Linked DNA regions of Lepisosteus oculatus. The protein of the gene in region 1 interacts with the protein of each later gene in a pairwise test. Links are inferred from orthologs where the notes say so. Each region holds a gene or a part of one and is shown in the gene's direction. Other genes may lie near its edges.

Evidence for each region.
Region 2: the proteins of rad54b (region 1) and ribc2 interact in a two-hybrid assay, tested with the Homo sapiens proteins (2 studies listed by BioGRID and IntAct). The two-hybrid records come from large-scale screens. The link is inferred for Lepisosteus oculatus from reciprocal best matches to the Homo sapiens genes RAD54B and RIBC2.
Region 3: the proteins of rad54b (region 1) and transcription elongation factor A N-terminal and central domain-containing protein interact in a two-hybrid assay, tested with the Homo sapiens proteins (2 studies listed by BioGRID). The two-hybrid records come from large-scale screens. The link is inferred for Lepisosteus oculatus from reciprocal best matches to the Homo sapiens genes RAD54B and TCEANC.

Annotation. Positions count from the first base shown.
Region 1 is NC_090705.1:7,542,790-7,553,103, reverse strand, and holds the start of rad54b (DNA repair and recombination protein RAD54B), read left to right. Parts: upstream 1-5,183; 5' UTR 5,184-5,266; intron 5,267-5,288; exon of another isoform or gene 5,289-5,644; intron 5,645-6,467; 5' UTR 6,468-6,485; coding exon 6,486-6,632; intron 6,633-7,661; coding exon 7,662-7,833; intron 7,834-10,314. UniProt on the Homo sapiens protein: Involved in DNA repair and mitotic recombination. May play an active role in recombination processes in concert with other members of the RAD52 epistasis group.
Region 2 is NC_090702.1:9,008,426-9,019,259, reverse strand, and holds the start of ribc2 (RIB43A-like with coiled-coils protein 2), read left to right. Parts: upstream 1-5,796; 5' UTR 5,797-5,898; coding exon 5,899-6,015; intron 6,016-7,131; coding exon 7,132-7,213; intron 7,214-8,635; coding exon 8,636-8,959; intron 8,960-10,834. UniProt on the Homo sapiens protein: Microtubule inner protein (MIP) part of the dynein-decorated doublet microtubules (DMTs) in cilia axoneme, which is required for motile cilia beating.
Region 3 is NC_090708.1:21,958,013-21,968,733, forward strand, and holds transcription elongation factor A N-terminal and central domain-containing protein, read left to right. Parts: upstream 1-5,889; coding exon 5,890-7,095; 3' UTR 7,096-9,685; downstream 9,686-10,721.

The DNA of each region.
Region 1 (10,314 bases):
GTTACAAACATCAGCATTAAGGCTTAAAGAGCAAGAGGTAATAGCTGGCGAGCAGCTACAGACTGCAGTTGTACTGCACGTCGCCTATTGAGTTTCAAGGCACAGCATACATCTTTAATTACATTCTGCTGTGGACACAGACCTCGAGAATCACACTGCAGACATCACGACAACGAACGGCAGGATACAGGAAAGGTGAGCACGCACCGACGTGTGAAGATAAAAGATAGTAACAGAAAAACACCTCTCCCGATGCTCTGTTTGTTCATCTTCAATTGTCTAGTTCACTTCACTCTCCTTCTCACCTTTTAAGGCTCCCTGTAATCCTTCACTCCTGCCCCTGACACTGCCTGTATGGGGGGGAGACAGAAACGTGGTATGAGCTGTTGAGTTTCCTAAGAAACAGATACTTGGAGCCCAAACAGCCAGTTGTTGAACAAAGCAAACAATAACCCCGCGTTCACATGGGCAGAGCTTCAGCCTTTCCCCTAGAGAGCATTCCCACAGAGGTGTAGCATGTCAGCCACCCCCAGCCCTCTGCTGAGATACCGGACACAGTGCCCGCCTTAGCCATCCGAATAAAGAGCCTCCTTCTTCACGGCTTCCAATTTCGCCTGCTAAATTAGTGCAAAAAAAAAAAATACCCAGAATTCAGAATTGTAAACAAAAATATGTAAAAAAAAATAAATTTTTGAATTTCTTATGGTGTATAGCCATATCTTTTTAAATGTGCTCTGATGTCTGATATGAAGAAAAATTAGAAATAAGAGGCAGCCACTGGCCTGTCCTTTAGCTTCTCACTGCTGGGGCACAGTGCAAACCTTCCTAAAGGTGAAAGGACTTCACTGGGTAGTTCACTTCACACTCAAGATGGGGTTTGCCTAATGGATTATTTCACCGTAATTTATGACACATTCTGTCTTGTGCGTTTCTTACTCTGTAGTGGTGATGCTCTGCTGCCGGGTCCGGAAATATTCCTAATTGAAATTCTTCCTCACTGCTCTTCTACCAAGGGGTTAAGAGATAACGTCTGGTTAATTTCACTTTTGGTGACCTTTCTAAAATTTTAAATGACAAAACAGGAGCATCGGTTAGAGAACAAACATATCAGGGTTGAGTAAAAGCTAAAAAAACTATTTATATTAGCTGGGACATACCAATAAAAAGTGATTGTTGGCTTTACCTTTAATGTTGATTAAAAAAAAAACTTTGTGAGAAATGGCTACAGTGTAAATATTAGCCATACATGACATCCCCTTCATGAGATGGGTCATGGTTTCATTTGAAAACTTGCAAGTAGGCCCATCTTCTACTGTAAATATTTCCCTTCAATTCTTGCAATGTAAAATGTAAGGCTGAAAAGCTGGGATTTTCCCATTTCTGACCAGATTTAATTACATAACCTAACATTTCTGTACATGTCTGATAGATTGTACACTACGCCCTTGTTTCATTTTATGCCTGAAATCTGAGTCTGAGGCCCATCACAGAGTTAAATGCAAAGTGTCAGGCAAATTTCAAGGGAAGGGAATTGCCAAGGGAAGGGGATGTGCCCTATTTGAAAAAGTATATTTACTGCTTTGATGTTTAGATGTCAATACCACAAGGTCTGAGCCAATAAGAATATGTTGAAAAGTACAGAAATTATAGACACTTAGGAGTTATACTAGACAATGTTTACAGAAAGGCTAAATGATTGATACATAATTATCAATTATAGTCCCCATAAAGTACTCCAATAAAATGGTTAAAAATGCATTTTAAAAGACAGAAATGAATGATTGTGATAAACCTGCTCTGCTTTTTATTAGTCCAAATCCAAACTGGCAAAAAAATCAATTTTGATAGAAAATCAATAATTGCATTACGAGTATACATTACATTTCCAGACAAACACACCTTAATCTTAAACTTGCTACTGAAAGTCTCTCTCTTGCATATCAAAGCAGAAAAAAGGACATAAGTATCAACCTTGCAAAAATAAAATCAAACATTCTGAGCACTTCATCATCATCATGTAAAAGTTGTGCACACAATTCTCTGACATGATCAATTTACAAGGAAGCAAATGTCCTCTTTTTTGGCTTTGAGGGTCACTCACTTAATTGCAGCAAGTGCAATGAATCCAAGTTAGTTCAGGAGTTTAGTTTTCCTCGGAGTCACTGGTGATAGAAGCCGCCCCTTCTCATTAAACACTCCTTTTGTTGCAGCACTTTCAATAGATGCGTTAGTGCAGCTCCCCTCAAAGGACTGGCTTCCCATCCAGAGGGAGAACAAGCAAATGCGCTCCCAGCCCTGCCTGGTGCCTCTGGCTTGCTCTGACTCCTACCAGGATAAGCAGCTTTATGATACTGGATGGATGTTAGGATTCGCTAGTCTTACACCTCCATTTTACTAAACGTACTGATTGTTCAAATCAATTCTCACTATATTAGGTGCAACAATGGAGGCCCAGCGCTCATGTGACCCTCAGCTGACGTGATATCGTGTCTGGAGTGAAATGGATTCCTTTTCGAATAAGATAACCTCAATCAACCAGCACTTAAGCTACCATGACCTTGAATGCACTTAGAATCTCCCTACAAGTTAATGGTATTAGCTTAATGACATTTCAGCAGTGTAGAACAAAATCCACAATTTCACCTTCCACTGTTAGTAGAGAGGTGTCTTTGTAGTTTATATCAAGCAGTCTAAAAAACAAAGACCAAAATGTATTCTGACTGCAAAGGCGTTCAGTTCAAAACCCCTCCTTCACTGACTGAATTTCTTCTCTTTTTTAGAAACCTTTTTGCATAAGGGACATTTTACAACTGCCTGACATTTGTAACATATGCTCAATCTGTCTACACCAATATCAAGAAAACAAATATTACACACAAATACTGTTATGGAAGGCTGTCACTCTGGAAAAAAAAGATAAATTAGCACCATCACCTAAAGTACCTCAAGGCACATGGTACATAAGTCAGCATTTAAGTAACCGCCATGTCAAAGATTATTCTTACAACTCCGCTGTAGGTGACGATACCCTGAATATAACACACTACTTTATGGTAGAGTCATCCGAAAAACAACAAGCCATTACAAAACACTGTCAACACAGAGGGTGGCATGGCATGGTGGCACAAGGGTTAGCGTTGATGCCTCGCAGTGCTGGGGCCCTTGTTTCCATGCCGGACCTGGGCTGCTGTCTGTGTGGAGTTTGCATGTTCTCCCCATGTTCACATAGGTTTTCTCCTACAATCCCAGGACATATTGGTAGGTTAACTGGCTTCAGGGAAAACTGGCCTTGGTGTGTGTACGACTGTGTGTGCTGGTGCCCCTTTCAGTGTGTACCCCGCCTCGTGCCCCTTGTGCCAGGCTCCTCCTGTGAATGGGATGCATTGGCGTGGTTAGAAAATCGATGGACAGATGTCAACACAGAAATTTATGAGGGAAGGCCAACAGGTAAAGTAGATGTGCGCACTATCCACTAGATGTAGTTCAGGGAAAGACTGGTTTTATTTAGCTCCACCCAGCTCTCTTACACATCCGCACACTTCTGCCACTGCGTCAGAGGGCCTAGGGTGCCCTAAAGGGGCTGATGGGTCCCTGAACCACTGTGACTCAGACCTTCTCCACCGGGTAAAACAGATAGAGACGTGAGAGAGGGACTGGAGGGTGCATCACAGTCCACCACCAGCAAGGGACAGGGCTCGTGGTGTATCCCCACCCACCCTGCCATCCGGATCACACTCCCCTGGACTGGTGCGATACATGGAGCAAGTTTATCCAAGACTCAGAACTGCACAAGCTCATACCTGTGCATTTAGAACCTCCTTTTGGAACTGAATGTACGAAATTATTTAACCCAAATACAAACACAACAAATGTTTTTCTTTTTAATAAAGATAGCAGTCACACAGTGAAATCTGCCAAGCTCTGCGAGGCAGTTTGCAGATGTGCAATCTTTACTACTGCACAAATGCCTTTACCTTTTCCTTTTCATAAGCAGCATTTTCAGTGTTCAGATCAGTGTTTTCCCCCTATCTTCTAATCACAGTTTATGTTTCCACTATCTGCATGTACTGTAACCCCTTACACTGTAAGTTACAGACTGGCACTGCTGCAGTTTGTAAGCCTTGATTCTCCAGCATGCTTCATCAGACACACAACCCTTTTCCCTTGCTCTGTGCTGGTAATCGTAAATTTCTTACAAGCTGTAAGAAATTACAACTGGTAAATTCTACAACTAAGCTTCTGTGTTGTATCGTTTCGAAAGCGCAATGTTAAACTGAGATGCTATACTTACCGAACACTGTTCAGCTTCATGACGTCCACATAGAGAACGTCTATGCCATTTCAGACTACTACTTTAACAACTTCCCCCATGTTAATATCGTATTAGTAACAATGCAAGGTATCTTTACCGGATCAAACAGAAACCCTTGTTATACTGAAGCTCATGGATGCTGAGCTCAAAAGGGAAAATAATAAATATTTATTATCGTTTATTATCTTATCCTCTTACTTCGTGGTTTGTACACCTACAGTACCTAAAGTTATTGATTGTTTTGATAACCGGACAATCTTATGCAATGCTTGTACATCACCACTACACTGCTACTACTGTACGTACGAACTGTTGTTTTAAAGTTTAGTTTTTAAAATATTTACAGTTCTTTACAATTTACAGAAAGCCAGTGCAGGAGAGAAGTTGGCAGAATTCACAATGCACAGCACTATATGCATATGAAAAACATAAATCAACTTACCATTTAATATAGACTTAATTGTTACGTTTCTTATAGTATTTGAAAAGCTTTCTGCACAATGACAGTTAAACCAGTCATTTCAGTATTCAGTATTTTTGCATCAGAATGTCGTATAAAAATATTTTTTGTAATTACATGGAAGGCAAATACGAATAATTAAAACGCACCGCGTATCTTACCCTCGATTCCTCTACTTCAATGTATTTTATTTACCTGCTGTTTTCAGGTGACAAGAACCAACTGTCGCAAACTGTGGCGATATATTGACATTCACTCGGCAAAAAAAACGGCGAGGGGTGATTCGGCAGTGTGGCAGGAGCGGTTTTAAGGATTTTTCTCTTTAATTTCTAAACCCGAGCTTTCAATACGGGTGGTTCTGTATTTTATATAGAAAATGAAAAAGACTAATGATACGTTATGGACCAGATTCCTGCGTCCTATTAAAAATACATTTACATCCGCCATGAGATGGAGTGTAACGGCGACCATAATCGGTGTGGCAAGAAGTGACGGTAAAGCACAAAAAAGGTTTTTTATTTACTGATAAGATGCTTTTTTATCCACGTCTGAACATTAATCTCTTGTGTTCACGTTATTTGAGCTTATAATTATAAGGTTAATAATAGCAAGGCTATTCATTTTGCGAAATGAAGGTGGGAGCACTCGTATCTCCGCCCCATGACCGCGGCCTATCGGAGGGCGGATCCTGGTTACGCGGGAGACTTGAGTCTACGGAGGTGGCCGCCGCCGGGAGGAAATAAGAAGAGGATTTGTAGGGAAAAAAAATAATCTTTATTGTGGTATAGAGGGGTTCTGTCTACCTAGAACATAAAAACATAAGAAAGGGCGTCATTTGGCCCGTCTAGCCCGCTTGGTTGCAAGTTTCTAATGTAAGTAATAATGCGGTGCTGTATATCGTGGATAAGGTTGACTATTTTGTTTTGTTTTTTATGCCACAGTTAATAAAACGGAAGGCTGTTGGATCGTTATTATCGACGGTTCTCATTCCCACAACTACCTAGATCGGACATATAAGCACATCATTTAAAAACGGGTCTAGCTTTCAGGTAATAGACACAACATAAAGGTAATCGGACGGCCGTTTAACTGGCAGTTCTGCTTATGTGCTCTGTTTTAATATAGTAAGTCTATATAAGGTCTTTTTCGGAGATGCTAAAATAATCTTTAAGTTTCGGTACGATATGTAGCTACATATGGAACAGTTTGTGCTGTTATGTCCACTGACGTGTCAGTTTGAAGGCTAACGAGAAACGGCATGATTTTTTAAAAATGAATTTGTAATAAATCTCCCAATGAGATTACCTGTAATCTGTAATTTATTCGGATGATCATTTTTTTAATTGCTGCTTTGTTGTATGTAATCTGCATTTTGAAGTAGAGAAATGTTACTCATCATATTTTGGGAAACATATCCATAGTACTGGGCTGTTTAAATCTTATTTGCCTGAAGGATCCCTTTTCAAGAGATCAACAATACCCTCGATTTCATCCTAAGCGTAATTAGGTTGCTAGATTTAACCCTACTCTCATAAAATTCTCCCCGAGGTTAGTGAGCACCAGCGTGAGGATAGTGTTGTCCAATTACCTGTCCATCGCAATCATGGCCTTTCATTGCTATCGTAAGACCCAGGGGCCAGCAAGCCTGCCCACGCGATGCCTCAATAGAACTATTCTGTTTCTGAACTCCTGCAGGTGGGCTGGTATCTCAGTATGCGCAGGTCAGGGGCTCCAAGTCAGCTGTGTGGCAATGTGGCCAAGAAGCCCAGGTTTGTGCCCCCGGCATCGATGCACATGAGAGCTGCTTCTGTGCCCGACCCGAAACGCCCCAGCCCTCCGCTGTGCAATGCGCTGAACAAGGTAGGTAAGGCGTTCGCTCAGTAGCCCCAGGCTGCTTACAACTTCCATTTTAAACCCCCCTGTACTGTGCAGATGTTGTGAAATGGAATTTGATATTTAGGTTTATGGGCCGTAAATTACTACGCTCTAGATATGTGATTCATAAATCAGACTGACTAACTGACTGACTGAGAAGGTTCAGATTCCTTGAGACTGGGGCTTCTGCAGGATGAAGTGGAGGTAAAAAAAAAGAAAAGCTGACTACGTCATTCCCCAGTTGAGCATGCATTTCATACAGTATGATGAAGAGAAACTGAACTCGCAACATCCAAAGAACCCAAAGTAGCTGCAGCTAAAAGTATCTTAAATAATTAGACTTAGGGTTTTGTGTGGATCGCAGACTTTGTTCTGTTATTGTCCCAAAGGGATCAGCAACCAAACACTGGCTTTTACGCTATCAAGTTTGCTGAAAGTGAAGGTGTCCCAATACCCTAACCCTAACCCAGATTTTATTCTAAAATGATCATATGTATGCATGGGCTTGCCTAAAAATAAAATATACAGCGTCTTATACCAGCTCTTACTTTCCAATAATGTCCCATTTGAGTGAATTACAAATGAAGTATACACATGTTTTTAAAGTGAATATTTTGATCAGAACCTGAACGTTCTGACGTTTTATGTATAGGTTTTACAGGGAGACTGTTTCATCACTAAATAAAAGCTGAAAAAGAACCGGTGCCTTTGCTGACGTGAGCAGTGTCCTGATTTGTTTCTTCCAGATAATGAATGTCCTAGTATGCTGGCAGTGATGTCTCGGTATTTTCAAATGTAACATGTGAGAAGCCTTTTTGCATTTTGCAGTCAAACACACATTTAATCAAACCTCCCTGTCAGGGGAAATGTCCAGCAGTCCAGTGTTTCGTGCACGGTGTGTGCAATAGAACTTTCCATACATTTAAACAGCCAAGGTCTTGTAGAGTGTTTTCTTTGCTGTGGTATCATCTGCATTGTATTGATCCCTGATCTTGTCTTAACTGCTTCTTGCAGGTGACAGCTCCCCAGGAAAATAAATCGGAGGCCCCTGTCTTATCCAAAGCCTTGGCAAGAATCCTTAATGCTGTTCCCCTGGGTGACACCGAGGAGAACAGCTCAAAGCTGCAGGGACTCTCCGATAGTCTTACTGTGAGAGAAGAAGAGTCAGACCACAGGACTCCAGATGGTGAGTTGAGCATCATATCTACTAAAACTCCTCTTGGCTGTGTCTTCATAGGCTTGAGCTTTTTGACAACGTGATGTTTTGAACCTCACACTTGAGATCGAAAATCTGCTATTGTAAAAAAAAGTGGTAGTTGCCTGCTGTACAGGAATTGCAAGTGTCTTTAGTAAAACTTAAACCTTCATCAATTAAAAGTGAAAGCTGAACTTGGTGCATTGCCCTTGAGGAGATGGCTTTGTCAGTATAGAACAATGCAGCATTATGATTTTGGTCCAGTGTGATGCTACATATACAGTATAGAAGGATGGTTTCGTTTTTTCCTGCCTGGTCCAGGAAGGTGATAGATAAGTGACAAACTGTGGTTGAAAGGTGACAAATTCGAGAAAAACAAAATAGACACTTTTAGCTTTTTAGAATCTTGCATACACCTTAGAAGCATTCCTTCTTTCAGGAAGGCACTGGAGATTCTGAGCATTGTTTCAATGGTTTTGACCTTTTTTATCTGATCTTTATCTGTTCTCTGTTAATGTCATGTCTGTCCAGTTATGGTGGTAACGTTCTGTACACCATAGTCTGAATAGCGGTGTGCAGAATTAAACCTTTAAATCTGGTAGTTCATGAACAAGGTGAAAACGGATTTTAGGATATGATTTTGGGCCAGGAACAACTAATTGCTGCAAAGGTAGGAAGTGATTGGTGAATGGAGTAGGATGTAATTTTAGGTTCTTAGATATGAGGCTGCGGAGGCCCTAGTGAATTATTCTGATGTGATCTACAGTATGTTTCTACTGTAATGCTTGCTGACCATTAAGGATATAAAATGAGAGATTTCAGAAGCCCTTTATAACATACGTGTACTATGCCTTGCAACCTAATGAGAAAATGCAAATGTGGCTGTGTTTTCATATTGCATTTCTTAAAAGAATTACATTTGTGACTGTTTTTGCTAAATGCTTTTAAGGGATGATGTCATTGGTAGGTAGTTCCATTTCACTGGTAAAGGTGTGAATTTAAATTTAAGCCTTATAGATGAAGCAGCATACAGTACTTTCATGGGACAGCCTGAACTGCTATCATTAAGCAGAAGATACACTTTGAAAAATGCTTCTAATGTGTTCTTTGCATTTCTTCCGGGGGGGGTCGTTAGATGATCTGTGTTTCTGGGAGAAAGGTAGGCTACGCAAAACAAGCAGGCAGACAGAATAGTGTTATTTGCTCAATATTAAATGTTTTACCACTGTTTGTGAAGTGAGCAGAAGCTTCAGTAAGCTGGTGTACTGGAGGAGCTGCATGTGCTTTGTACAGCAGAGGCCTGGGCAGTGCTGTACTGACACTGCCTTGGCTATTCTGCTTTGATTGGGGTGTACTGAAGAGTTGTCGTGCTCATGCAGAAAATGTCTTTCATGCCAATTCACAATGTTACTCTTTGCTCTTTTTGTTTTATATTCTTGTAATTTATCCTGGAGTCTCCCTTTTGTCCTTGTTTCGGATGTTCCTGTAGAGAGAGAAAACATATACAGTAAGAGCATTTTTTGTGTACCGTGAAATGTCAAAGACCTGCTGAACAGATGTAAAGAATGGTTTTATGACTGAACTAGAAGGAATAATATTCACTATTGTAATTTAAGTGTCGATAGGTCTTTTGATGCTACTTTAATAAGTTCCTTTCTTAATTGTTGGAATACACTAGCAGATGTTTTTTCCATTCTGAGGTGTAGAAATGTGTTTTAGAAAGATTAGGACTGCATCGATTATTTCGTGTAACTTAAAACCAGATGTAATACGTATTAGGTTAAGTAAAGTAAATGGGGAATCTTACTCTGAAGAGTTTTTTTGTTTTAATTTCACATCAAAATTCACAAAGAGGGTAAAAAAAGATTTCTGTAAATAGAACAGACTAGTACTGGGCTGTTCCTAGGTTACATGTCCAAGGCCTGCAGAAGAGGCCAATTTAGTCTGGCAGCAGGAGCTCTTTGTAAATCTTGTGTGTCAGCATTGTGCAATACCAGAGCAGCCTGACATGCTTCTGAAACTCTGACTTAAATTCAACCTAATCTGCGAGCAAGAAGAAATAAGATTGCCTCTAGGGGGCTGGTTTGAAAGTCGGAAAAATATACACACTCACTCATTCTCTCTCTCTCTCTCACACACACATACGGACACACACACTGAGCTTAAGCTGGAAACAAGAGAATGTAAGCAGGAAAGGCTTGTGGTTAGGGTATTGTCAGATCGGAACCGCAGCATATACATCAATGAGCACGTCTCGGGCACAGATTCTATCAGCATCCCTGTCCCCGGAGGCCTGGAGCCTCGAACGAGAGCAGGTCAAGTCTGTGCGTGAGTGAGGCTGGAGAAGGCCGAGCCGGTATGTAGAGTCCTGACTCTCCTCATCAGAGGCTGCTGGTGCTTCCTGCCTGCCTCCCAGCCTGTGCTAGCACAGCAGTCAAAGACATCTGCAGCACCTGCAAGGAGCAGGAGCGC
Region 2 (10,834 bases), on another chromosome or scaffold:
TCTTATGGATCTGGACTTGATTTCAACTTGATTTTCTGTCCCTTCATTGGAAGAAACTTTCTGTGCCCAGTTTTCCCAGAAAGAGTTAACCTATGTTAAAAAGAATGCCTGTTCGGCCATCTTTGTAGCACCAGCATCTGCATTGTTAGACTACATTTGATGATTTATTCTTTTATTTTCCCAGGTAAGTCAACTGAACATGAATTTAATTTCTAACAACAAATTATATCCTTCTTTGATTTTATTATACTTGCACTTGATTATTTTCTTACCTTAGAGTCACAGTTGAAATGCCTTTCTAAGCCTAAAGAGTCCCTCCAGCAATGCAGAGCACATGTACCACTAGGGCTGAGAGTGCTGACATTCGGAAGATCATGACAGCTAACGCCGGCAGCACGGGGTTCTGGGATTGGTGGCTCTTCCAGAGTACAAAGAGGACAAAAATCCTCCAGAAAACCTGGAGCAGGCTGGGAAGTTTGGGTGTCCCCTTACATCATGTTTTCTCTGACGTACTGTAGATAGTCACATTAATTAAATCCATCCATTTTCTAGCAGCTTCTTCCAATTCGGGGTAGTTGGGGAGTCAGAGCCTATCCTGGCAAATAAAATAATATACTCCAAAATACAAAGACAGATACACAGCACACACAATTTTCCAGAAGACAATTAACCTACCAGCATGTTTTAGGACTGTGGGAGGAAGCCAGAGTCAGTTATTTAATAATTTAATGCTTTGAGTATTTAGTGACAAATCATTTCTGAATTCTGATCATTTGTGTTTGTTATAGATGATTATTCTGTTCTTAAAATATAGATGATTGTTTCCTGCTCCAGCTTCCTCCTGCCTTCCAGACACATGATGGGTAGCATCATTAATCTCTCTAAATTGCCCCAGTGCGCTTGTGCTTGTGGCTGTGTGTGAGATGAAGTGATCTCCCATCCAGAGTGCTGTCACATCTTCTGCCCTGTGTATATGAGGCACAAACCTTGCCCAGAATCAATACCTTTCACATTGTTTAAATGGTTTGATGTCCCCCCCCCACCATAAGCAATGAAGGGCTATCAGTTGTTGAATTAATTCTTTTCTATAAATACTTTGCTGTCTCTTTTAATACATTAAAGCTATTCCTAACAGTTTGAATAACAAGTCTCAGAATCCTAACAATAGTCATTTTGACATCAATATTAAAGTTTTATTTAAAACATTAAAGTTTCCTGTTGGGTTAAAGCATCCATTTACCAGTATGAACACAAATATGACCTCACCAATACTTATCCTGCGATAGGCAAATGGGTTTGAAGGACGATCTTTTGATTGAACAGGGTAAGTGTTGTTTGCAATGCTTTCAACTTGCTTTGAAGCCATCAGAACCATAGCCTGTTGTGAAAAAAAAAACACTGTGGCTTCATGACTTGGTAAATGCATGCTGATTGAGCAGTAAAACAACATAATTTGTTGGCAAAACCATGTGGATGCTGCACAGTGGTGGTGGTGGAGGGGAGTCCCCATTACCTGTAAAGCGCTTTGAGTGGAGTGTCTAGAAAAGCACTATAAAAGTGTAAGCTATTATTATTATTAATGGTGTAGAAACATCCGGGGCTCCCAAAAGCATTGAATTCTCCTTTGGTAAAGTGGAATTTACTATTGTTGGAAGGTGCTCAGGGATTGGAGTATGTCCAAAACTGAATGGAGATTAAGTCTTGGCTGAGAGTGAGATGTGCATACCAATGTGGTCACCAAGTGACATTGGCCATTTGACTTGAGAGGGAGACTCAATTTATTTGTCAAATCCTGTAATAAACTAATTGTGGGGAAATCAGGTGACCAGTGTGCTGGGATAGCAGCCCAGAACTAGAGCTTCTGCTAAGTGCTTTTCCTTTGTTTTTGTCATCCTTGTGCTGTTTTTCCATTAGAACACATCAACAAAAATGATTATTTGACTGTTGTTTCCCCAGCTGAGAAAAAAGACTGTGATTCTCCTGGAAAAGGAGACAAGTGGTAGCCACACTGCTGGAGCAGTCAACAGAACAGTACTTACAGCTTGTAAAAACTGAGATGGTGGCAATGAGCTGAATCAATTCTAATGTAGGTTCAACACACAAAACAAGAAAAGCACTTGGGCCCGACTTTATTCCAACAGCTACACTGAAATCTTGTGCCAGTCAACTTCCTCCTGTTTTTACAGATCTACCTTACAATCTCTCTCGTAAGCAGGCAAAGGTACCGCACAGTTTTAAGATGACTAGTATATTACCGGTACTTAAGAAATCCATTGTGAACTCCATCAATGACTGCAGACCAGTAGTCTTGACATCTGTCATTATGAAGGTGTTTGAGCAGCTCATAGTTTCCTGTCCAGTGCACACTTGGACCCATGTCAGTTTGCCTAAACAGCAAACAAGTCAGTGGATTGTGCAGTCTCTCGGGGCTCCATGATGTATTTCAACACCTAGCAGCACCCAGCACATATACCTGGATCCTATTTATTGATTATAGTTCTGCTTTTAACACAATCACCCTTCTTAAGCTTTTTGATAAGCTAGAAGAGATACTGTAGGTATTAACCAGACTCTGAGTTATTGGCTACTGGTGTAGGAAGCTGTTGGTGAAGCTGAAGGATACTATCTCTCAGCAAATCAACCGGAGCACAGGAGTTCCTCAAGGTTGTATCTTATCATCTCTCAGCATCTCTCATCTCTCATCTATCATCACAGCAATGAACACTTTTCACATATTCCTGTCTTTAGATCATCACACAGGGTGTTATTGTCAGATCCCATACAGATAAACTCCATAGTTCACCCTTTATATTCTAAATTATACAGGTTGACATTTTCAAGTGTATGAGGTTTGGGAAACTGACTTCTTCTGAAACATTGGCTGTATTGGGAATATCTATATCCCTGTATCTTCCTGGGAGACATGAGAAATAGGAGACATGAGAAAGTTTCCTGGGTTTGTTAGCCTTCCTCTGTAAAGTTATTTAATTTTTACCCTGATTCTGGCCTTCTTCAGCTTGAAATTATACAGTACAGCTTGAAATGATACAGCAAAGGTATACTAACTTTGAGAACAGTTAATTTCAGAAGCATATTAATATGGCTATTTTTTCCATATTTATGAAAAATCAGCCACAGTTTGTGTGGGTTATGTGATGCCAAGCTACAGTATATATTAAAGTGATATTGTGCTGGAGAGCATATGGCCAAATTAATACAACATCAGGGGTGCGCAGTTTGTTGTTTTTCTACTTTTTGGAACAAGTAACTCAGACTGTCCATCACTATTAAATCTACTCTGACAGTTCTTTTGTTAAAATTTGATATAGCTATGTGATAAATAATTATACACAGTATGAAGATAACAACTCCCAGTCTCGGCCTCAGTTACAATTTTACATTATTTTTGGTGCTCTATCAAGGTCTAAAATTAATAGGTGCTTTTATTTCTTTTTTAGTTCTATGATTCCTCTCTCACACCCTTCAGTGCATTGAGAAATGTCTCAACATGGTAGAGCTGGGTAGGCAGAGGGCTAAGCTCTGCCAAACATTCTGTTTTTTAACACCTTTGATTTACAAACACGGGTGCAGTCTTGTCACTAGACAAGACAAGACAAGATATACAGTATCTAGTTGTCCCCTTGCAGATAATGTTGTCATCCCACTTAAACTTAAATGTTTATTCTAGCATTCAACTTATATATTATAGACTAAAATTGGCCCCAGTCTTACACAACTAAATATGATTGGTATTTGCTCAAAAATGTGGTCGCAAAATTCCAGAAAACACAGGATTCCTACTATTTTCTATAACCACAAACTTTTCTTTCTCTTTTTCACTCTGGGTTGAAAAGATGTTTATTATTCTAGCAGACATTTTTAATGAGAATTCCTTCCAGATCCTGCAATCTCAATAAAAGCTACACGCTTACTCTTTCTTTTTTCTTGCATCTTCATTCTGCTATGCATGGCTCTAGTACCCCCTGCACAGTGAAGCTGTCTACACACCTAACCTATAATCTACTGGTACAAAAGAAAGGAATTGGTTTACTCTGCTTTTTCTGTAGATTTTTCATTCCAACTCTTACTAATATGGAACAAGAACTTTAATTCTTTAGATCAGGAAATTAATTGGGACATTATAAATATAGCTTTCAACATTCATCCATCCATTTTCTAACTATTTTATCTAATACAGAGTTGTGGGGTTTTGGGGGGTGCCTAACTCAAGCAACAGGCAGAAGGATTGATACAACCTGGATGGGGCCCCAGTCCATCACAGGGCACATACAGATACAGAGACTCACACACTCACACCAGGGCCAATTTTCCCAGAAGCCATCAGTATGTCTTTAGGCTGTGAGAGGGAACTAGAGCTGGAAGAAAGCTACGGAAACATGGAGAGAACATACAAACTCTACACCTACGGCATCCCAGGAATGGAACTCAGGTCCCTAGAGCTGTGAGACAGCAATGCTTAAGCACTGTGCCAGCATGAAGCCCCAGCTTTAAAAATCCTAATAATGAAATTATCGTCTTCAGGCATTGTATTTGACCCATTGTTCACCACATCTTCCCCATATGGTCCTTTGTTTATTGTCTGTCCAGAGGACATTGTAAGCACTATTTGGAAATAGTTCAGGTGGGTAGCTGCGTCAGCATGCGTAGGCTGCAAAGGAACAAGTAATAGGTTTATTCCATGCTGAAAAAAAGAAGAAAGAGAACACAACATTTCGGTCGTGGAGCCTTCTTCAGGTGTGAGAGAGACAGGGCAGTAGGCAAAGGTTACGACCACTCTAATCTCTCCGTCTGTGTTCTCAAATACAGTTTTCCGAACTCATACATCAGAAAGACCACCGAAACTAAAATTATTCTGCAGCTAGGATCACACATTCTCCCTTCTCTTAACAACAGACTACTGTTCTTTTAAATGTTCTCCATTCATTGGAAGTTTCATTTCACACCTCTCTGCACCCATTCTCACTTCACACCTCTTGATTGGCCTCTCTTTCTGTTCCCTGCTCCCGCCTCTCACTCCTCCTCCCTCCCAACCTTTGTTCTCCCGCTACTTTACCTTTGCCTACTGTTCTGTCTCTCTCACACCTGAAAAAGGCTCCACGGCCGAAACGTTGTGTTCTCTTTCTTCTTTTTTTCAGCATGGAATAAACCTATTACTTGTTCCACTATTTGGAAATGTCGAGATGTTTTGAAAAACAGTTATTGTTTTCCACATTTCTAAACAAACATACAGTATGCTTTGCTTTATAGTACTCTAGATAGTTTACAGTACTCCTTAAGTTATAGTACAATAACTTTGATCTTGTCTCTCAGAAATAAAACTTATTTGGTTGGCGGGTCACTCACCACGGTTTAAAAAAAGGACACAATGTCTTCCCTCTCCTCTTCTGGAGTCAACTTTAGTAGTTTTCTACTACTTATATCAAAGGTGATAGGGAAGACAGTACAGGCTTGGAGTGCTTTAGCTGTCGTGATTTAATTATTATTGCACAGGGCTTCTACCATGGCTGCATAACTATGAAATTGTTTATAATTACGCATTTGTTAAAAGCTGAAAACTTACATGTGCTCTATTTTATTTGTAAAGTCTTATCATACGACATTTGGAAATGTTTATTTTATAACTCAAATATACTGTATATTGTCCACTCATCTTAAAACTATGCTGCAGTATTCTGGTTATTAACCCGTACAAGGATGACAAAATACAGTAAACACCAGGGGGAGCTCACCACCCACGCTGAAACTCGAGGCTCGTTTCCTAGCAACCAGCCTGTGTACAGTAGTCGCGGGAGAGTACACGGAGACCAACACACACACACAAATTCTGTGCGAACTTCATGCAGTAAGCAGAAGTGCAAAAAATTAATAGAAACTGAGATGTACAAACTGGAACTGCCAGCGGATCGTACTCAAGCCGCTCACCTCGAGAGGAGACGAAACGCAGATGTTCAACGGCAAGATAGGATTTTCAACGCTAAAGTCAGAACGATTGGAGTAAGGGGCTCTATATGTTCTATACTAGATGTCTTGAATTTTTAACAGTTTATTTTCGCAATACGTGAATGATTGATATCCTGTAGATCAAAAATTATTCAGCACACAAAATAATGTAACGATTAGATTGAGTTTGATTTCTTATAAATGTTTTTTCTGTTTCCTTCTTAAGCTTGAATATGTATGAACAAATTTACATCTGTATTTTTAAATTACATATACTGTACATAACCCAGCGATTCCCAACATCAACCGCTTCTACCCACAAAAGGTGTAACTTTATAGTTATTTTCACACTTGTTTTCAGTGCTGTATCATTAGTGTTGCAACAACGGAAATCTACTTATTTAATGTTTTATACTTGAATATCGTTATCTAATAAACGAGATTTGTATCGTGTTATTATCACGATTTTTTATTTTCTAATTGTTCACCGTATTGTGCATTGACAACGTATTATACAGTATAATGATACATTAACTCTCCTCAGGAACATGTCTGTATCTGCTTCATCTGCTCATTTCAATGGCACTTCTAACCGCTTGTCTTTCTTATATGTTTTTACTTTGTAACCTGTGGTCCTACTGTTTCTACACCTACTGTTTCTACTTGAGATTTTACTTTCAAAGGTGCTACTGTACATAAAATAACGTTTTTTTGTAATTATTGTTATAGAGGAACATGATCAGATTTTCCCTGGTTCAGAAAAAAAAGATCTGAAGTATACTGGTTTATCACTGTTCTCACACCCTCTTTGGTAAATGGCTTTGCATACTAATCTGATCAAATCTACCTACAGATCCAGCAATTCAAAATGCATGGAGTACGCCGCGTTAAAACGCGGTAGGCGTGGCACATCGTACCGCATTTTAAATGAATTATGATAATAGTATCTAGACATTTATCAGAAATGTTTCATATTGCAGAAATGACCTTGGACTAGCACAACAATCCATCTGGATCGTCTTATATTGGTGGAGAGCATTTCGATAAAATCAGATCATTCTACTTTATTCAACGTAGAATAACTGATATTTTCTTTAATACTTAACACAATTTAGTGCCAGTCTGCCTGTGCAATGCCTTTTCTCAGTTCCTTCATTTTGAAATATCTAGGTGGATAAAGAAGCATTAGATTTCCAAGTGAAGGAAAAGAACATAAAAGAAGACAAAGAAGCTAGGATACTGAAGGCCTACGGTGAGTACAGGTTTCTGACATGACAATGTAAAAATATTAAGTCTGCAGCTGGTGTGGTGGCGCAGTGGTTAGCGTTGCTTCCTCACAGAACTGGGCCCTCTGTTCAATTCTTGGGGTGCTGCTGTCTGTGTGGAGTTTGTATGTTCTCCCCATGTACTCATGAGCTTTTGCTCTGGACATATTGGTAGGTTGATTGGCTGCTGGGGAAAATGGCCCTGGTGTGAGTGTGTGCTTGTGTGTGTCATTATGTGCCCTGCAATGGACTGGAGTCCAGTCCTGGGTGTAGCCTGTTGCTTTTCAGGTGTGGCTTCTGCTCCCCCACAGCCCTGTGTTAGGGAATATTAATGAGGACCCTATGCAGAAAAACCAGGACGAACTCCAGAGGCGTAGTTGATTTAACAGTCTGAGGTCCGAAAGCAGAAGGTAAACAAGCCGGTGCAAAAGTAAAAAATCAGAAGCGGAGCTGTAAGCCGCGAGGAAGCCGAGAGTCGAAGCCAGAACAATACTCAAAGTAGCAAAACAAAACCAAGAGACGTAGACTAACCGGGGTCAGGAAGCCAAAAACTAAGAAGTAATTAATTGGGAGAATTGAAGTAGCTCTAGCCAGGAAAAACCTGACTACTGAGCACAGGGGAGAGTATGAAGCAGCATTAAATTGGTTGGGGTAAATGGGCTAATTGGGAACCGTGCGGGAATGCGAGGTGGAATGACGAATCCTCCGGGGGCGTGGCGTAACACCCTGCATTCGAAAAAGTGGTAAACTAAGAGAACAAGAGTGCAGAAATGTGCAAAAAAAAAAAGGAATTTATAAAAAGAGGAAGTAAGAAGTCTGTAATGTTATTTTTTTATTTTTATGTGAAGGATCCCATGCCTTGTTAGGAGTTTACAATGAAGTGTTTAAGAATTGTTGGATTGTTTGGCACATTTCAGGCCAGCCAAGGTCTCTTAAATGCAGATGCACTGTAATTCATGTATCCTACACTCAAGTTTAGAAGGGAAGAGGGGTCTTGGTTTATTGCCACGACTGACCTGAGCTAACTGCCTGACTCTCTGACCATGTTTACATCTTATAAGGCAACAAACTGTTACTGACCAATCATAAAAATGTATTAGATTTTGCTCATCTTCAACAACAAAAGCCTGTTGTTCTGTTTGAAAAAGCGAGTTAGGGACGAGGTTATAACCTGTTAAATTTGCCTGTCCTCCTTTCTTTATTGCAATAAAGAAATCATGATTTGATTCAGTAGAACTGTGTGTGGTTTTCATTGTGGGTTCTAACATACAGTATGCAAGATCTTTAATACAGATCTTCAATGCTCCAGCATGCAGGGAACTTACATTTGTAAAAGCAGATATCTTGAAAAGAAAAAATGGGTGAACCTACACTCAGAGTTATTAATGCCTTTATGTTTATTCCTTAAGCCGAAGACCTCATCTGCGCTGACAAGGTGGCCTGTTTGCTGGAGCAAAGGCAGAAAACGGATGTGAGAAAGCTGTGCAGGGCCACTGATGAGTTCCGGCACAGCTATCAGAAGCCGGAGGACAGGCGGGAGTTCAATCTGAATGACCCCGAGCAGCTGAAGAAGGAAGCTGCAGGAGACGGCTCGGGCCAGAGGCTGCAGGGGCTGCTGGGAGAGGACCTGACCCAGAAGGAGAGGCGCCGCAGCCAGCAGGAGCAGTTGAGAGAGTGGTCACTGCAGCAGCAGAGGGAGTTCAAGGAGGCCAGAGAAGACCAAAGAGCAGCAGGTATATTCTGGGAAACTACTAAAAAAATGTTACAAAAGAGGCCATTCTACCCATTGGTGGTGGTGGAGGGGAGTCCCCATTACCTGTAAAGTGCTTTGAGGGGTGTGACCAAAAAAGCGTTATATAAGTGTAAGGAATTATTATTATTATTATTATTATTATTATTACTATTACTATTATTATTATTATTATTATTAACCCATCTAGATTGCTTGATTGCTAGTAGCTATTTGGTCCATGTCATGTCTTGAAATAAACCTGGGTTTTGGCTTCAACAATGTGCCTGGGTAACTTGTTATATAATTAGCCTTTTACCACACTATTAAAATGGAATATCAGTATTGTCGCCTCCTACTTTAAGCATCTATTGCTATGGGACATTTTTCTGTGAACAAGAGGTGCCTTCTGCCCTTCAACCACCTGCTACCATTACTGTTGTCGTTGTGACTAAGGTCTTTTTCTAGTTTTCTCTGCTAAAGAAACCTCCGCCCAACCTCGGCAATTGAAATGAAGCAGTAAAATCACAATATTCAACACACAAATATGTAATCTAAAACTCCTTTTGGCTCTGTCCTATTGGAAATAGAAGACCATAACATTTACAGTTAATCTTTATTTACCACAGAGACTCATTTTTACCCTCTCCTTGAAATGAATTTGAGTGGTATAAATCGGGTTTCTTTCAGTTTTCTCTGGGAGAGTACTCAGTCTGCTCTCTTAATTGTTCTCAAACCAAGAAGTAATCACTTTAACACATGAAAACCTTTTTTTTAACCCACTTTCACCCCCCAACTTCGGAGGACTTCTTTATTCTTTACTTTTTATTTTTCACTCTCATTTGTGTTCTTATAAGACAATAACAAACAAAATTCCATTACAATTACAATTACAAAAAAAACTTCCTATTGATATTCTTAACATCCGGTGCGATTCAAGTATGTCTCTACTGGGCCCCAAACATTCCTATACTCATTAACTTTCCTCTGTAAATTATATGAAATCTTTTCAAATTTACCTTGTGATATAGCCTCTTTAATCCATTCTTTGTACGATGGTCCTGTTCTGTCCACCCATTTTCGCAATATTATTTTTTAGCAATAATACAGAGAGTCAAAAAAGTATTTTTATATTGAATTGCTACTTTAACCTTTGATAAATCACCAAGGATACATGTAATGGGAGTAAGTGGAATTTAGATATTTAGGTGCCTGAGAGCTTTCCCCACTGTGGAGGTCCAGAATGACTGTACAGTATGTGCTGACAATACCATCTTAATATAGTCAAGCTGTCTTCTTCCCTGGGTCACTTGTCCCCCTCTCCTACTAAACCAGCATTCCGTCTCACACCTGAAGAAGGCTCCATGGCCAAAATGTTTTCTTTCGTGTTTTCTTTCTTCTCTTTTCAGCATGGAATAAATCTATTACTTGTTAATTTACTTTAGGTAGTATTGACATCTTGACTATATTAATTCTACCCCACATGGAAATTGGTAAACATCTCCATCTGAGTATGTCCCCATTTATTTTATTTAACAAGTCTCTTAAATTAACATCTCGGGAAGCTTTCACGCTGGACTTTATTACTTTATTTACACAGCCCCAGATACGCTATCTCTGTTGTAACTCGTACTGGGTGAGTAATCGTATGATGCAATGATAATGAATTAAGATACATAAGTTTTGTTTTGCTCCAGTTGATCTTATAATCTGTCATCTTACCAAAACATTCAATGACATCTACTGCTTATAAACATTTTTATGAACATCTATACCTTTTATCTGGACTGATGCTCTTATTTTGCAGGTTAAAGGTTCAAGTGCTAAATTAAATAGTAAAGGTGAAAGAGGACATCATTGTTTGGTGCCTCTATATAAA
Region 3 (10,721 bases), on another chromosome or scaffold:
GGAAACCAAATAAAGATTAAGCAGGTATAATTGCATAAACAACTGAAAGTTACAGTGTAGTGACTGACATCTTCAAAATGTGGGACTATCTCAGGTTTCAGAGGTGTCATATGAAGAGCATCTTCTACTGAATGAGGAAAAAATCTAATGCACTATTGGAAATGTGCTGCTAATGGGGGAAAAATATATCTCTTTTTTCATTGTCACTGAAACTCCACTATATTGTGTAAATGATATATTAAATGGGGTTGTTACTTAAGGTATGCAGATCAGGGAGGTTAAGTTGTTGATTACGGAAATTTAATAAATGTGATTAGGCATAACAACTGATGAGTGCAGTTCTTCATTAGCTCTCTTTTAATCAGGATTATAAATACCAGTAAGACAGGCTGCCTCTGTCACTAGAGAACCAATCTCAAGACAACAAGGTTGTTAAACAGGATTAAAGACTGACAATGAGAAGTCAGGAGAGGGGAACAACCTACCCAGCTGTGTGATTGAAGCTGATATTTTGGCTTCTTTCAAGAAAAGACTGGATGAGACCCTTGGATCAATTAACTGAGTACCAAACAGGCTAGATGGGCACAAATGGCCACCTCTGTGTTGTTACAGTTCTGTGTTCTTAAGTGTGGCCTTGCCTAGTCTGAGCTACTGCAGGAGATGTACAGTATAACGTGTCTACAGTTTTGTTGTGCCCTGTTTCTGATTGAGAGTTCTGCCCTCTGCCCTTGATAATACATATCAATTTATTTTATTTGCAATGAAATTGATTGGTAAGGTCCCAGCAATATTAATAAAGTCTAGATTTACTACTTTTAAACCATTTGTGAAATACAGTATGGCCCTATGAAGCTGATGTTTTGACCTGGTTTTTGATCCCACATTGCATTTAAGGAACAAGCCATGAAAAGCCCAGAACTCATCTCTTCTGTTTCAGCTCTCGCTAACAGTGAGCGATGCTGTACACGCACTTATAAAAGTAAACACAGCAGAATTCTGAAGTCCAGTTAGCAACATAACAGGACCAACGGATGGTATATTTTCAAAACCAGAATAACCACCTTGCTTTTAGGAGAGACTGGCCTGTGTGAAACAGACGTCGATGCTAAGAAACAAGCTCGGAAGCGATCCTAATCAATCTGTTAGAATTTATTGTTCCTTACAGTGCTGGGGCCACAATAAATCCCCTCAGAAAACTCAAGTTTCTTGGAAAAATCAAAGTAATGACTGTAGCAGATGCCAGGCATGGTGAATATTATCCCATATGTCAGAGGCAAAGGATTAAATCTTCCTACTATAATCTGAAGCACTGAAAAAATTGACTTTACAATTGCATTTCTAATTATACTTTTTAATATTTGAAGGTGATATTCACTTTAGAACTTTCCTTAAGCATCTGTAAAAAGTTTACTCAAAAGCTTAAACATTCAGCAGCTATTTAAAAGGCGAGGTATAAAGGTACTCTCAGGGAGCAGTGAGTGTGTGTTCTCCGTTGGCGTACAGTATATTGTTGTATCATATATTTTTTGGAGGGGAGATACTTTCCGTAAGACTCTTGTACCTTTCTTCAATCCAAACAAATCTAAAGCACATTCAAGTTTTCATAATTCCTGGAAACTGTAACTCAGGCTTAGGTCTGATGGTTATAATGGCTGCCCTTTTACCATTTTTGCTATGTTTTCAATCACACTGTGCAGATGTATTGGCCATTTAATTCTGTATTTCATTTCCCATTAAATATGATTTTAGGGCTTACTTTACCCTAGTAACCAGTAGCACTGAAATTTCTTTTTCTGAAACCATCGTGGAATATTGAGCCTTATAACACTTACAGTCCTTATTTATAAGAGTGCAAAAACTATTGTCTGCATATTGACATACACTGTAGGTATGTAATGATTACTTTGAATCATATTTTTATTACTTTATTACTGGTGATGTTTGATAGTCATCAGGAGAAACAGGCATACAATTTTCAGTTTCACCTGCATCTGTTGGTATGCTTTTCTTTTCTGTAATGATCATATTGTCACTGCAAAATAAGCACCTACTGTACATGCTTCTTTTTAAGCTGACCTGCAAAACTAATTTAGATTAATGAAGTTAAGTAAGCTTTCACACTTGATATCCATAAATTCAGGCAAGTATCATACAGTCTGGAAAGGTGATCCATTATTGTTCACTGAGCAGCGACTCCTGGGCAGCTCTGTGGAAAAGCCTGCATTGTTCTTGGCCAGACAGGAAGGAAGAGACCCTGTGATCGTGGTTGTGCTGAGCTGAGGGAAATAGGCTGTTGAGTGGTAACGGTCTCGAGCAAAACTCAAGATGATTTACCACTTGGACTACAATGCTAATTTACTCTTTTTTTTCTTCTCATCTTACCGTCTTACAAGTATTCTTTGTAGTTGTTTGTAGACCTCAAAACAGCAAGTTGTAACAGCGGCAGGTTTATTGGATCAGAGGGAATAGATACTACTGTATATGCTTTCCATGACATCATAGGAGGATGACTAATGGGACTTGAAACACATGACATAATGTAAATATAGAGGAATTTAGTTCCATACTTGGTTTTGAATGTAAGAACCCTAAATCTTTTAAAGTTGAAGCTAATTAAAAACACAATGTTCATAACATATTATAATTAATAAGAAAATGAAAGAGAAAGTTCAACTGAAATTCCTTTTAGGCCATGGGTTTGGCAATTTAAGTAGAGTAGAGTAGTAGAGTTTTTCCTACATCTCCTTTAACAGAACCTAATTACGTTTGGGAAGCTGCTGCTAAGACTTAAAAAATTATTTAAAAACCTGAATTACAGTATCATTAGTGCAATCTGCTGGAAATATCTTACTCAAAGGTGTTCTGAAAATCAAGAAACATAGTAAGCCCAGTAACAGAACCTAATAAAGAGCTGGACATACTTTCACTGTTCAATTCTTTTGTGATAATGTTTTTTCTGATGCTCTTGCATCCATCCATTTCTAACCACTTCTCCACACACAGACACAAACACATACATTCACAACAGGGCATATTTTTCCCACAAGCCAGTTGACATACCAGTATGTTTTTGGACTCTGGGAAGAAACCGGGGAGCCAGGTGGAAACACATTGAAAACATAAACCTTCCATGCATATAGCACCCCAGGAATGGAACCCAGGGGCCCAGTTCTGTGAGGACACAATTCTAAGCACTGTGCCACTGTGCTGCCTGTTGCTTTTTCAGATAAAACAAAAAAAGCATTAAAGACATTCCTAGGTATCAATTACAGCTGTCACTGGCAGGATTAAAGGAGAAAAAAGCACATTTTTAAAACATGAAATGTATTATCTCTGTTGCAGGGGCTGGGACCGAATACTCGCCAAAGTTGAAAGATCTGTAGCTTTGGTTTCCCATTAATCATATAATTAAAATATTAATTTAATTATATGCCGCCTTCACACTGCCTTTAATTGAGTTTTTCCAGACACATACATATTATTATAAAATAATCTTATTTTCAATCTTCATGGGCTGTCTTAAACTCCAAGGGCATTTATTACACACATTTGTAATGGATCAGAACCTTTGGGAGGCCATTAGTTTATTGTGTATACTGGAGAACAAGAAAAAGTTGCGAAGGTGGAGTCATAAGACTTGTACTACTTTGGCATGGTGAGTCAGGCTGTGCAGCAAACATCAGTGAACATCAGTGAATGGTTTGCTTTCCAAGGAGCCCACACATTTGTTGTGAAATTATTGGTTTCTGAACTCAGCCTAGCCAAATGTGCAGTGCATATATATACCCTACGCATGCTGTTGCTTCTAGTTTTTAAAAATCAAAATGATGCTAGCTGACCTTTACTGTTGTTGTCTCTGTTGTCGCTTATTACTGACAGCCTGCAGACAATCTTAAGGGGGGAAAATGATTCTCATGTCCCACTAAATTGCCAGTCTCCGACAGTGTGGGAACCTATTTAAGTTTATTTAAATAGTGCACTGTGGAGACACTTCAGTACGGGGATGTGCATTTAAAACTGAAAATGGAAAGCACTTTTTTATAGTGCTGTGGATGCCTGAAACTCCGGCTGTGTTGTCGAAGCCAATATCCTGTTTAATACCCTGGGTTCTTTCACAAAATGGATGGATGACATCCTCTGGTCAATTAGCCACTGAATCCTAGATAAGATGGATGGGACGAATGGCCTCCACTTGTAAATGTCCTGGAGGTGAACAGCTTTTATTGTTGAACATTGAAAACATTTTTTCACAATGAAAATTATTATAAATTGTCACCACTTACTACTTACTAGTTACTAGAGTTATTATACATACTCTAGGTACGTTGACATGAGGTACATGTATGGTTAGTATGTATTGTGTATTGTCATTATAACCTTTGAACAATATACATAAAGAGCTAAATAGACTGTAAACATTTTTCACAGTGCTATCTATATATGATTATATAACAGTTGAACAGAAACCAAATGTGTGTAATTTTAGATACCCCGCCGACCCAGCACTATCGAAACCAGAAACCATAGCATCATATGCTATACGTATAAATACGTTATGCTGTTTTTCCATCCTGCAAATCAATTACACAGCCCTAATAACTGTATCGCATTCAGCAGTCCTAAAAGCTTGAGGTTTCGACTCAAGCTTTTAGTGAATAATGACTTAATCGTTTCCCACAGTTACTGTAAAATTAAAATAAACTAAAATAAAGAACCCAAGCATTTAGCATTTTGCTGTTTCTTAGAATGCTGAATGCGTCTCTCTCTATTTATTCTATTATAAATACTTCAATGTATTATTGTTGCTGGTGATGGCGGTGGTTTGAATTGTAATTTGTGAAAGAGAATGGCAGCTGTGGAACCTTGTGAAGACAAACACCACTTACCTGGTCGATGTGCGCCCCCTGGCGTGCGATACTTGTTTCAGCAGCAAAAGCCTTGTAAAAAATTATAAACAAACATGGCGGTCGACCGGTGGGAGTGAAAGAAACGTCTGTGCATCTTAACGGCGAGGATTTTTAACTGCAATTTCCCAGTATGATTTCATATTTCTTGTATATGACACACCTATATGGGTATATGAACACAACAGGATTGGCTGTAAAAATGATTTTTACACTTGAAAACTTCAAGGAGCTTCGTAAAGGGCAGTTAGATTCTTACTGAGTGCCTGCGTGTTGACATCAGGTTCTGTAGGTAGAAGTACTTTACTTTGTTGTATTAACAATATTGAAAATATTAGCTCTGCGTTTTGGGCATGTGATTTAGCAAGAACTCACTGACATTTCGGTTTGAAGTTAGAAACTACTATTTTCAGTTGTAGCACTCTTTAACTCTGAAATGAGACGCCCGCTGTCATTCTTCAGTAGGACAGATTTTATTAATTTAAACGTACATACTGTACAGTATGCAGCACGCTAGTGTGAATTTAAGATCTGCATGTAGGGGATTTACCTACCGTGTTGTAACTACAGTTTTCGATATAAAATACAAAGCAAGAATTATGATGTTACTACAACAAAATGCATGAAAAATTATATTTATGTTCATCTAACGAAAAAAAAATCAAAATGTATTTATGCACAACAACCTCAAATTGCTGTACAACAGTATATAAAACAGAAACCAAAAGAAACCCAAACATGCACCCCATGTTTTTCAAAGGGGTTAAACGCTTCTCCACAACTGTATTTGGGTCCAGATCAAGGGTGGATTAATTTTTAAACACTGAAATTGCTAGTTTACTGCATGTTTAAACTAAATTATTCCATATTTGAAAGTGTTGATTTTGTTAATTCTGAGATTTTGGGTATATATAAAATAGGAATAAATATCATACTTACTGCTGCTGATTACAGATTTTGTGATATGCTTCCATAGATTGGCCTGATGATGGACACACAGGGAATCATTTGTCATACCCGTCAAATTGAAAAACGTCTCCATGAACAGAACCATCAAGATATTATGCTCTTATTAGAGGAATTAGAAATGGCTCACATTACATTAGAACAACTTCAGCAAACAGATATTGCAAAAGTTGTTTATCGGGTCTGTAAAACCTGCCAAGGGACTTTGGTGAAGAAAAAAGCGAAGGTTTTACTGTCAAAATGGAAGAAGCTGTTTACCAATCCTTGGTGCAAAGCATCCTATCACCTTGCAGGAAAAGGCCCTGATGAGAAAAACAGTACTCGAGGGCCACACACAGAGAAAAACCCATCCTGTTGCCAGTCAGAAATAAATGAGACTCACTGTTCACAGTGCGGTCAGTTGGAAGGAAACGAGAGCTTTATCAGTGAGAAAGACAAAGCTAAAGAGACTAATGAGGCAACACAACATAATTTATTCCACTGTGTGGCCAGCAGAGGGGAGGTACTGAAAGAAGATGAGTTTGGTTCAGCAATAAGCAAAAATGAAAACAAAAGTGATCTTTCTAGATTGGAAAACAACGGAAACACCCCAGCAGTTAGATCCCAGCCTGGCACAGTGGAGAACGCTGGACATGATACTTCAGGGGTGACTCTGGAAAAGGTACAGCCTAGCAAGATACCTCTTAGGTCCAAATGTATACAGCTGCTCTTTCAAGCCCTTATTCCTGAGGGAGCTGAGCACACAGAGTCCGCAGGGAACTGTCAGGAAGTTGCCTGTGCGATTGAGGAGCACGTTTTTATCCTCCATGGGAAAAACGAAAGAAAGTACAAGTCTTTCATTAGAAGTAAAGTTTCTAACTTAAGGAACCCTAAGACCCCTCACTGGCGTCAAAACCTGCTGGGTGGACAGCTGAGCCCTAAGGTGTTTTCTGAGATGTCCGTGATGGAACTGGCAAGTGATGAGCTAAAGCAGATGAGGTCAGCGTACATAGAATCTGCCATTAATGAACACCAGCTTCCCCAAGGCGTGGGCGGGACCCAGACAGATAAAATAAAGTGCCGGCGATGTGAGAGGTTTGACTGCACTGTGACACTCATTTCCAGGGGTACCCTCTTCCTTCCTAGTTGGGTACGCAACGGAACCCCAGATGAGCAGATGATGACTTTTGTCATCTGTAACAAATGTGGTGAGAAATGGTATAACAGTGGATGGATTTGTTTATAGTAACTGGTGCAACCGGTTCGAACAGTACATGTTAATCATGGGTTGAAGGTTTGCATTTCTGGTACAGCTCGGCTCTCTCCGTGGCACTATAAGACAGTTGTGATGATGAGGATCTTTAAGTCATTGTGAAAATGTTGTTCTTTTTTTTCCCCCAAAGTGCCTCACATTTGTACTGGTTTGTGCAGTTACATTTTTGTGTGTGGATTTTTTGTGATAAGCTACTGTGTGTCTCGTTTTTATGTTATTTTTTGTGTTTGGTATTTTTGACTCTGTATTTTGGCCAGAGATTGAATGAAATTTTCAGAATTTGTTGAAGTGAACTGGAAGAACACTTATTAAATTAAAATAGCTATGCAGTGATTGAAGATAATATCTCAGCAGTTTCTGTTCATTTTTATTATAGATGAATAAAAAAGGCCATCCTTTGTCACTCTCATTTGCAGAACACAGTATGTGTCAGCAAGTACAGCTATAAGATATGCCATGGACTGTATTTTAATCATATTTTAGGAAACTTGTCTTTTCAAGATAAGCACATTACATAAAACAGAACCTCGAAGAAGCTGAAAGTGCCTAAACAGTTGATAATTTAACAGACTAAATCTTGATCCAGAGCTGCATTACTATAAATATAGATAATAGAAAAAGTGTGCAGAGTAATCAATTTAACTGCACTTAGATCATATGGTCTTTACTCATACATGTGACTTTGTTCAAAAATGCTCTGCATGTGACTTTTTTCATGTCGTAGAAACTTCAGGAACCCTACTGCATGGTACAACTCCTTAGCCTGTCAGAGTTATAATTTAAGTAATGGCTGAATGCTATTCATTTGTATTTCAAAGCAGATTAATACTATATTCTTGTCAAGCTTTATCAACGTGAGATATATGATTTAAAATCATCTATGCCCAGTAATACCTAATAAGTCATTTTATGTGTGTATGCTTTGGTTTTAAATTTCTAACTGTATTCCTTCTATTAATGTCACACCTGAAGAAAGCTACTCCGTCAAAATGTTGTATCTGTTCCTTTCAGTATGGAACAAACCTTTACCTGTTCTATTAAATTCATTGTGCCAATTTCAGTAGACATCTAATTACAGTATATACTGTATAATGCATTTTTGAAACAATTTGTGTTTAAAGTACACCCTGTTAATTCATTCCAGGGTTTCTTTTTTAGATTGTGAGAACTTTTCATCAGGAAATTTCCATAACCCATCATAATTGGTCATAAAAAGTGGTGCTACATGAGTTTTCCAATGTTTATAGATTATCTTTCTGTTTTGAAATCATAACAATGCTACTTAGAAATTTGGGGTATGCTCCAAAACTAATTAGTTGGCCTGACAATATTACATTTTAACTCTCTTCTTGCTTTGGAATAAATAATAAAATACTTTGAGAATTCACTAAGGTTACACAATTACAAAGTGTGAGCTAGAAAAATCTCTTTTAAAACCACTAATGGCAACTTTTTTGTACTTTAGCATAATATTGAGTTTTGTTTTTGCACTTTAGCATAATATTTTGTTGTGTGCACTTGTTAAACTATAAATTAATCCCTTAACTGTTCTCGAAAAAGAAAGGTCTCTGACGTTTCTATAGCATTCTACGACCTGGATTTTTCATTCTCAGGTTTTGTTTTTACCTTTTCTTTGCATTTTCTTGCTCAGTGATATTTTCAAAAATATATAGTTCTTTAATGAGCTATGTTTGCAGTTCAGTCTTCAGTTAGGTCACTTTTGTGGAATTATATTTAATATTCAATTATAGGTAACAATGTTAAGTTATGTCTTCAACTCAAAGTAGTGGTTTATTCATGTCTAAGGACTCCACTTACCCCTCACAGATGTGAGGTAATGTCCATAATAATAAACCAAATTAGAGGTTATGAACCAAATGTATTGTCTCTAATTTTATGTGCTGAGAGAGGGAAAACCTGCTGTTCTGCAACTTAGTTTCCACCTGACAAAGGCAAATGCAATAAGAGATTTTGAAAAACCTGTATAATGTAGACATCTCTCAGAGTTACAGAGTTTTCCTACTGTACGAGACTGGACTGGAAAATTCCCACACTGGTAGTTGTGTAAACAGCAGACAATGTGCACAGATGAGACAATCCATAACAGAAACCTAGTCACCTGTATCAAGTTAAAGGCAGATGGAGAAGTTAGAGGTTTGTGTTCAGTTGTAGGCTTAAAGATAAAAAATGACATCTAGACTTGAGTTTTAACCAGAAAAACTCACAAATGGACATTTTCTGATGTTGTATAATGCAAAATTAGAAATTAATACAATTCTGTAAGATTTATGCTTGCATGCAGACATAGTGCTAGACTGGACCCTAGCTGATAGACAGTTCTTAGCATGTTCGTATTTGTGGCAAAATGTACAGTATATACAGTATATTATTGTGAAATGGTGATAAAGAACCATCTTCAGAGATGTGGGTTTTCTGGGAGATTCAGGTGTTATCTTTGTTTAAACTTTGATACATGACCAGCATAACAAAAGCTTATTTTTATATCAACAACAAAAACACTTAACAAATACCGTATATTTTGATAAGATGATTATGTATCTTGTTCTATTTTTTTATCTATATTTTGAGGTATGGGTACCTCTTTGGAACACCATTGGAAATAAACACGGTATAGACAAGTCACTTCTTGGTAATTAATTAACATAATACCTTGAACTGAAAGACTTAATGTACATGTTAATTGTTTTTCAATATCCTGGATGTAACTTGCACCAAGTACGTCTTACCTGACAGTGCTGGCAAGAAATTTAGCACAGTGCACAAGATATGTTGGAGAGTTTATAGAATATATGTATTATTAATATCATGTCCTATAAGCCCATCTACTCCCAAAGCCACAAAAAATGAAACCCCTTCAGAAGAATTTCATATTAATAGAGAAAGAGACCAAATTTAATGCTTAACATTTTTGATTACATGCATTTTGATATTATAAAAAAAACCTACCAGAAATGCAAAACCACTAGAATAGGTAAAAATATAAAAACAACAGTATAGTGTCTGACTGCCCTTACAAATGAAACAAGGTTATGTTTTATCAACGGTGAACTACTGTATGCCTAGTTGTGTTATGGGAAAATTAAGTAAATTAGAATTAGCCCCTAGACACATTTATTACTGCTGAGGTGCTGCATATCTCTTGCAATACCTCAGTTTATCACTGTGACAGTTTACTGTTTACTGTGATACAGTAGGCCTTTTGAAATCTTCGTAGCACTGGGGCAATCAATTAACAGTCACAAACATTTAATGGTCCCCGATCTTCAATGATTTATGTATCAAAGGAGAGAGGAAAATTCAATGTGACAAGTTCCAGTCTCCAGAGTCATAGCAAAGGATAAATGTTTGCGTAAATGAGCCTTGCCCGGGGGTCACATTTGGATATAGAGTTCAAACAGCTTGACTATTCATGCCAGAGGTGGGAAGATTTTCATGAAGGCTTAAAGCCTGTCTGATCAAATGGATCGTAGCAGAAGGATCTTTTTTCCAGAAAGTTATTTAAAAATAATGTCTCTGTCTTGAAGATTCTCTGTTTGTTGATTCTACTGTGTGTCTCCCCTTGTTGCGTGTACTGTGCC